2 linked regions of the Kluyveromyces lactis genome follow. The protein of the gene in region 1 interacts with the protein of each later gene in a pairwise test. Links are inferred from orthologs where the notes say so. Each region holds a gene or a part of one and is shown in the gene's direction. Other genes may lie near its edges. The genes, in order: IRR1 and MCD1.

The links.
Region 2: the proteins of IRR1 (region 1) and MCD1 interact in binary tests that used the Saccharomyces cerevisiae proteins (3 or more experiments, as listed by UniProt). The link is inferred for Kluyveromyces lactis from reciprocal best matches to the Saccharomyces cerevisiae genes IRR1 and MCD1.

What each region holds. Positions count from the first base shown.
Region 1 is NC_006042.1:2,572,690-2,577,230, reverse strand, and holds the start of IRR1 (cohesin subunit IRR1), read left to right. Parts: upstream 1-1,510; coding exon 1,511-4,541. Other genes in the region: ATG45 (Atg45p), read left to right, coding at 175-849. UniProt on the Saccharomyces cerevisiae protein: Component of cohesin complex, a complex required for the cohesion of sister chromatids after DNA replication. The cohesin complex apparently forms a large proteinaceous ring within which sister chromatids can be trapped.
Region 2 is NC_006042.1:1,366,738-1,370,600, forward strand, and holds MCD1 (kleisin alpha), read left to right. Parts: upstream 1-1,456; coding exon 1,457-3,259; downstream 3,260-3,863. Other genes in the region: ATP16 (F1F0 ATP synthase subunit delta), read left to right, coding at 1-244; RQC1 (Rqc1p), read right to left, coding at 3,372-3,863. UniProt on the Saccharomyces cerevisiae protein: Cleavable component of the cohesin complex involved in chromosome cohesion during cell cycle. The cohesin complex is required for the cohesion of sister chromatids after DNA replication.

The sequences.
Region 1 (4,541 bases):
GCTCGCTGTCATATATATTTTTGATCCTGAAAAAATTAGACGCTTGTCCCTGAAAGACAAATAAAAAAATACTAAACTACTCAAAGAAATATTTACGATAAGAGGGTCTACAAGGACTTTGCTCATTCGGTTTCCAGAGCCACCGTATCCATCAAAACTTTACCATTGAAAATAATGTCCGAAAATTGTCAAGAGCTTTGTCTTAGAATTGATCCCGCTTCATGTGGATTTACTAAAGATGATCATGTTATTATCACCGGGGATTTCGATAATTGGAATCCTGGTCAGTACACCTTGAATTATGATTCAAGCACAGGCTACTTTATTGCCCATTTGCCGTACGATGGCTATAGTGAAACGTTCGTCTGTAAGTTCGTTGTCAACAACGAACATTGGAAAGCTTTGAGCTGTTTCGATAAATATATAGATGATATGGGTCACGAAAACAATTTAATCCATTGCAAGGCTTGGTTGGAGACTGAAGAAATGGTTGCTGATATTGTAATGGAAGATGTGGAATTGGATTTAAAACCTTTTAGATCTTCTATGTCACCTTCAGATCTTCAGATCGATCAGTTAGCAATCACTAGGCCAAGTAGCGAACAAGATTACATACACGTAACTTCAAGAGGTGAATTAAGCTCATCTGAGGACGTGGAATTAGATCCGAGAGTAACACAAGGTACAATTGATGATATTTTGGTAGATGATATTGACGAACAACAATCTCAACAAACTCTACTACAGGCAAGCTACTCTGATCAAAATGCCAAATATCCATCTTCATATAATCCGATACACGGACTCGTCGCAACTTTAAGACGTGCAACCACTTACTGGAAACGTTGATGGTTAATTTTATGCTATTTCTTCTTTACCTATTCTCCTTCTAATTGATTTTTCTTCCTTTCACGCTAATATACACTGCTTTTTGCTCAACTTCTTCTATCCAGTAAAAATCTTCTGAACACATATTCATCAAACTACAATAATTACTATTTAAACCTCGTGCTATTTCTCTTCTTTAATTTATTTAGCCTCTAACTTCTTTTTTTTCTCAGGATGTAATACAGTCTGTCGGTTTAAATCGATTACGACGATTGCTTCAAAACACACTCTCTTCCCATGCTTTGGTAGCCTCAAATGAAAGCATACAAAAGTCATCTCATTTGAATGAAAATTGCTCTTAGATAAAGTTCATGGATGTCTTCGTAAAACAGGTCATTTAACTTTAGATAGAGAAATTGATATAGGTCTGTGATTTAACAATGTAACACTGTTGTTTCACTTCTTAACACAGCTGCCGTTATTAGGCCAAAATATAATACTTACATTTTACATGGATTCGAGTAAAAAAACGCGTCGCGTAAATCTAAAAAACTATATGTATGAAAGTAAAAAAAAAGAGGCGACGAACAACAAATCAAGGAAAAAAACAGCTCTCACTCATAGTACATTAACAACAACAGTCACTTACTAGAACCATTCAGCCTCGTTCCACTGTCTACCTATGCCAGTGAGAAGGTCAACCAGGATAAGGACCAAATCCTCTTATAGTGAACAATCTGGATCAGAATCGGACTCTGAGCACGAAACTATAGGATCCATTGTCACCGACGATCGAATAAATATCGAAAACACGGATAATCAGAAAGAAGAAGAAGCTTTATCACAAGGTTCTAGTAGTTCAGAAGAAGACGATGACGCCAATGATGACGACTATGTTGCCCCTGGCTCCAGAAAAAGACCAAATTCCGGAGGTAGGCGCGTTGCAAGCAACAAGAGAACGAAATTAAAACAAAACGAGAAAGGCCGACCATCTAATAATATATCCAGTGCTGTTTCAAGAAAAGAACAGGAAGCATACATATCATTGCAGAATGAATTCAAACCCACAGAGCTTTTTGAAATTCTAAGCAGCTCCGACGATTTTTCTTGCGAAGAACTTGCCAGTGACTGGTTGGATTCCTATATAGATAACCGAAATGTCAGCTTAGCGAATCTCATAAATTTCTTATTAGATTGTTCTGGATGTTTCACTCATATTGGTGAACACGATGTAGCTAATAATGACTCTTCGAATGAAACAATAGGGGAAATACAAATTATGTTCCATGAGCAAAAAAAACATGAGTTCCATTTATTACTATCGGCAACACACAAGAAGGCAAAGTTCCGTCCTTTGAATGATAATTTTAACATTTTCATGACCACATTAATGGACCTAGCCATTGAGAAAGAGATGATATATGTTGAGAATGAAAAAGAAGAAAGTGACGAGATTGTGATCGAAACAAATCCATTAATTATTGACTTACTTACATGGATACCTTCCATGTCAGTATCAAAAATACGATGTTTGCGATATGTTTCAGCTAAAGCCATCTTCTGTTTCCAAGATTCTCTCGCACGAGCTTCTGCCAGCTTAGAAGCAGAGGTGTTATTTAAACTGAGGAAACAGTTGACACTGGAGAGAAAAAAGAAAAAGCCCAAGTCCAAAACTATGGAGACGCTAGAATCTTCTATTTCTGATGCTGAAGCTACGAAAACTGTGATAGAAAACACTATTGATAACATAATAAAGCTCTGTTTTGTTCATCGTTTCAAAGATGTAGATGAAAATATCAGATCCCTTGCGATATCCTACTTGTTAGATTGGATTGAAAACAATCCAGACTACTTTTTTAAGGTAACCTTCCTCAAATACTTCGGTTGGTTGCTATCTGATAGCAGTAATTCAGTCCGGTTACAAGTTATAAGGTCCCTTCATGACCTAATTAAGTTCTCCAATAAGAGAAACAAAAATACTGTCGATAACGCTGCCCTAAGACAATTTTTCGAAAGATTCAAAGATCGAATGTTAGAAATAGCTGGCAGAGACATCGATATTCAAGTAAGATTAACCTCAGTTCAAGTACTTTCGTCGATTAATGGGTTGGGTTATCTGGATGACCATGAAATAATAGACATCATTAGCTTGATCTTTTTTGATCATGAAGTAAAAGTATCTTCTTCGTCAAGGGACGTTAAATTCTTGAACGAGGTTACCAAATTCTTGGCAAACATTGTTTCTGAAAAAACGGAAGAGTTTCTAATAAACAATGAAAGGTTTAAGGTTCCGGTAATTTCGGTAACGGAAGAGCAGTTTGTTAAGGTGGGTGTGTTAATGAGATTATTACACAATTCATTGTTAAATCATATCAACTCCACTAGTAATTTAGAAGGTTATGCAAAAGTACCACCGGACAAAATCAAACTCTTACAGCAAGCGGCGGAATTTTTATCCCCCAAGTTTTACAACTTAATTGAAACTATATCAAAACTACTCTATGAAGAGGGAAATTTCGATGGCAGCACAATTCATGCTGATGCAGATGATTTTTCCAATGATCTGGGTGATATCAAATTGTTCCTACCAGAAACTGATAACAATGTCCTATTTTATGCCACTGTGTTGGGCGGCTTATGCACAGGCGGCATACAGTACAACAAAGGCCAGGACAGACAAGCCGTGACACAGTTAATTCTTCCAGAGTTAGAAGATCTTTTCAAGAAAATGAATCTTGATTCTGATCAGATATATACTCAACTACTAAATGTAATACAGCTATTAAACACAGAAGAATGGAATTCCAGTGAATCAAAGGATGTCATTTTTAATATCAATAAAACAATAACAAAACGATTTGAAAGCTCTCCAGTGGTTTTGAGCAACGCAAATGCCATTACTAAAACCTATAAGAGTTTAATTCCATATTTGGCATCCCTTCAAATACCAGAGGTAACTGGTTATTGGAAGTCATGTCTGATTAACGTGACATTATCATTCAAGAAGTTTATGGAATCATTTGACATAAAATCTGATAATTCAATAACAACATTATATCTGCAATATGTTAACAAACTTGTAATTTTGGGTAAGGAGTTCGCAATTGAAATTTCAGAAACGCTTTTGGATGACATTGTTGAAAAATTCTTGAAGCCGTTGAGTGAATTACTACCAAAGATTGATTCGGATGCCATATCTGTCCTAGATTTTAAGCTTTTCACCTCAATAGTTACTTGGAATTTAGCAACTTGGAGAGATGTTATCAAAAATAATGAAGAACCTATAGCTGTTTCACATACTACGCTGAATCAAATTAGAACGGTATTAGTCGAATTGCTGAATCTTTCTTCAAAGATCGATTCTAACCCTGAAATACAACACGACAAGAAATTCCATGTGCTTCATGTAATACTCTCTCCATTGTTAGATATTATCATTGCATTCAAAATGTTTGAGCTCGATTTGTCAGAAAAGGATTCCGATTGGATAAGGGCGTTAAGGCAAGAATATTCAGTTATCTCTAACGAAGATCTAACTGGTATTTGCCACAAAGTTTTCCTCTACCTTGAGAGTTGTCTTGGAAAATTTTTGGGAATAACTCTAGATCGAGTGGCTGATGAAGATGTAAATTATGGCGCTGTCAACTTAGTCGATGTTGATGGAGATCCAGAGAAGGAGCTTTGTATCTATACCATTAAATTGAAAGGCCTCA
Region 2 (3,863 bases), about 1.2 Mb from region 1:
AGTCTTGGAAGGTTCTTCTTCTAAGAAGTTCTTTGTTTCCGGTGGTTTCGCTACTGTCCAACCAGACTCTACCTTGGCTATCACTTCCGTTGAAGCATTCCCATTAGAGTCTTTCTCTCCAGAAAACGTTAGATCTCTGTTGGCTGAAGCTCAAAAGAACGTCTCCTCTGCTGACGAAGTTGCTGCTGCCGAAGCTGCTATCCAACTTGAAGTTTTGGAAGCTTTGCAAGCCGCTTTGAAATAATTGAGATGAACGAAGAATTACAATTGGACCAAGGTATAATACACTTGATACGGATACTCTACTTGGAAGCAATTGTTTTCCCGGTTGATTGTAAACCTGTCTCGGCGTTTGTATTATCCTTCGTCTGCTTTTTTTTCATTATTCTAATTCCTATTATTCCATTGCACAAGCTTACACAACACAACGACGAATACATTTCATGATTTAGCCTAAAGACCCTTTTTTGTTGCTCCGGTCATTGTCCTTTCTTTCCATACAATACTGTAGTGTGAACGTACGAATAAGACTGGGAACTATTGAGAATTAACCTAAAACGACTATTACTAAAATATACAACGAATTAAAACCCAGCGAATTAAAAGAAATCAGAAGAAATAAATACGATAAAACCTAAAAATTCTAAATGATATGGAGGTTGATACAAGTGATGTCTCGATTCCGTTTCAAAAGGGGGTTCTAGTCTTTGTTTTAATGACCAACAAACATAAATCTTTCTTCAATATACTATTCCTTCCTTTCTAACAATATCAAAGAAAACACTGGATCGATTATAATTTGTCTATCCCCGTTAAAAATATTATCAATTAAGAACCGAATTGAAAGACTTAGATTTTATATTTTTTAGCAGAAACGATTTGTGTGTAACTGATGTCTAGTTTTAAGATTCATATTCATATATACCGATTAAACTGACTGCGCATACTGAGAGAGATGATCTGGTTTTGGCATCAACAAGAGTTAGAAAGGCAGGGTAATAAATGGGTATAAGGTCCTCACTTGTTACCCGGATTTTATACCACGAAATCGAAATTTTTCCGGCGGGAAATCTTTTGAGGTCCCAGAAAAAGACATTGTTTTCCCCCAAAAATATTTTCGCGATTTTTCTCCATAACGCGTTTCCGTGATGAGATCTATAACCAGCAATCCTTTAACAAATATCATTGATAAACACTGGATGAGAAGTATGTCTATTCCATCATATTGATTGCACCTTTACCAATAATTTTATCAAATATATATATTACCTATGGAATTTTAATGTCGTGACCTCTGAAAAAAGACACAGTGCTATTTTATTTCATTTTTATTTTGCTAACCATTCCTTATAAGATCAAGTTCTAATCTCGATCTTAAGTTTATATCCATTTGCTATACCATTTGCAACAGGAACCACGAGCCTTATATCACCTAATCCAAAAATAAACAACGTATATGCCACCAAATAGCAATTCACATACTCAGGTGAGATTAAATACAAGCAATGGGCCGTTGGCTCAGATCTGGCTGGCTTCCAATTTGAGTAGCATCAATCGGAACATTGCAAAGACTAATATCGTGGAATCTGTTGAAGAGATTGCCAAAGCTGCAGGTGTTAATCTAGATGATGAATCTGTGGAACCTATCACATTACGTGCTTCCGGTGAGTTACTACATGGTGTTGTAAAAGTTTATTCTCAAAAAGCATCCTATCTGCTTACTGATATCACAGACTTACTGAGTAAAGTGAAATCTATCTTCAAGGGATCGCTGAACAAGAGCGTCACAATTCAGCTAGATACAGTGGCAAAGTTAGATCAGCTTTTATTGCAAGATGCGGTTACAGAACTTGACGTCTTGGAGATGCCCAGTTTGGATTTCTTGAAAGATATCCAAGTGCCAGAAGGTTTTTTGATCGCTGAACGATCAATGGAAAGACAAGTGCAAGGAGCAGCACCTGTAACATCCGCCATTGCAGCACAACAACAAGCATGGGATATGTCCTTAGAAGTTGGAAGGCGATTCCTGGCAGATGAAGATGATGACTTGAATGCTATTGAACATCACGATTCATCTCATTTGAAATTAGATTTTGACCTTGGTGATTCTAATCAAAGCAATAACACTAAATCATGGGGTGAAGGGACTCGTGTTACTGCTAGTGAAGTAAACGCGGATGATGGAGAAAATGAAGGTGATTTGACTATTAGAAATGACAATGACGATGATGATGAATTGCTACCACTTAACGATGATTGGGATTTGGGATTAAACGATGATGATCAGAATATTTCTGGTAATCAGTCTAGCCATGGTAGCGACATGTCTGTAGAGATCGGGAGAAGGGCTGATATTACTCACTCATTGCATGATGATACACTCTTAGACTTTGATCTAGGGCTGCCAAAGGACACAGAACCAGAGCATCAAGAGCAAGCAGAGGCATACATACCACCTAGAGCAGTAAAGAAGAGGGCACCAAGGAATAAAGCCTTTATCAATGTTAAGAAGGTTCTCATAGATGCTGATGCCGAATTAAACGATTCTGAAGTGAAAGGAGGACCATCGGACTCAATTCTTATCGTTTCTGATGAGACTTCGTCCGCTATATCAAAGAAAAAAAGAGCCATCGATGAATTATACTCTGACCTGGACTTCCTTCCTCAAAAGATTATATCTAATTTCTTCAACCATAAAGCTTCAAAGAAGCCTAGAGCTCTGTCACAATCCAGCCAATCTGATGGGTCCGATGTTGATATAGATATCTCTTTGGGTATCGATGGAAGTTTGGTACACAATTCTGATCCATTCGATCACCAACAAATGGGCTTTGATGCAGAATCAGAAGGACCAGTGTTTGCTGATGATGAACCTCCAGTTCTTGCAGCTGATACATCCATGGAAGAAAATGATTACCAAGCCATTCAATCAGACGAATTTGCCTCTCGTGGGTCAATTGAAAAGGAAAAAAGTCAAAAAGTAGAGCTTGCTACCGGTGAAATCGTGTCTAAATCTACAGTGGAAATGGCAACTCTACTGAGAGATGAAATGAGCTCCGGTGAAGCTACTTTTGATAAAATCCTTACTTCGAAGTACCAGGATAACGCGGTAATAACAAAAAGAATGGCCAGTAAAGCATTCTTTGAGTTACTTTCTCTTGCCACCGCAGACTGTATATCATTGAAACAGAAGGAAACATTTGGACAAATCACAATTTTAGGAAAATCAAACTTATATGAGACGTTTGTTACCGCATAGACTTTTAATTTGGATACTTTTATAACGGACATTATGTATAAATAATTAATAATATCTGTTTTTTTAAGTTGGTTTAAATATACATGACGGCAGATCAGTTCAAGTTGTTGTGCTATTCGATTTCTTCATTTGGTTGTTGCTGTTGTTGCTGCTGCTCCAAGTATTCTTGTATTGATAACTGGTTAATGTGTTGTAAAAGCTCCTCATCAGCGAACCTGTTCATTTGGGATATTTCTAGATGTTTACTATCAATTAGTCCTTCGATTGTTTCTACTACATACTCACTTTCTCTATCATGTGGTTGTGGTGGTAGTACATCGAATTCAAACACAGAATGATCTGACCAAATTTCTTCGGGAATAGCAGCCATAACGGATGACTCTTGAGAAAGAATAGCAAACCTTAACAAATTAATTGGAATGTTATTGATGAAGAATGATGTTGGCGCCACGTCGTCATCATCATCGCCATCATTTATATCCTTCACTGCATCAGTGTCAAACGAAGTGGAATTAAAAATGCTTGCTAACTCATCAAGTAAAAACTTCTTAGCTTCCGCTTCCTTCCAAATGGCGCCCATTCTAGTAGTATAAGCTTTTGTCTC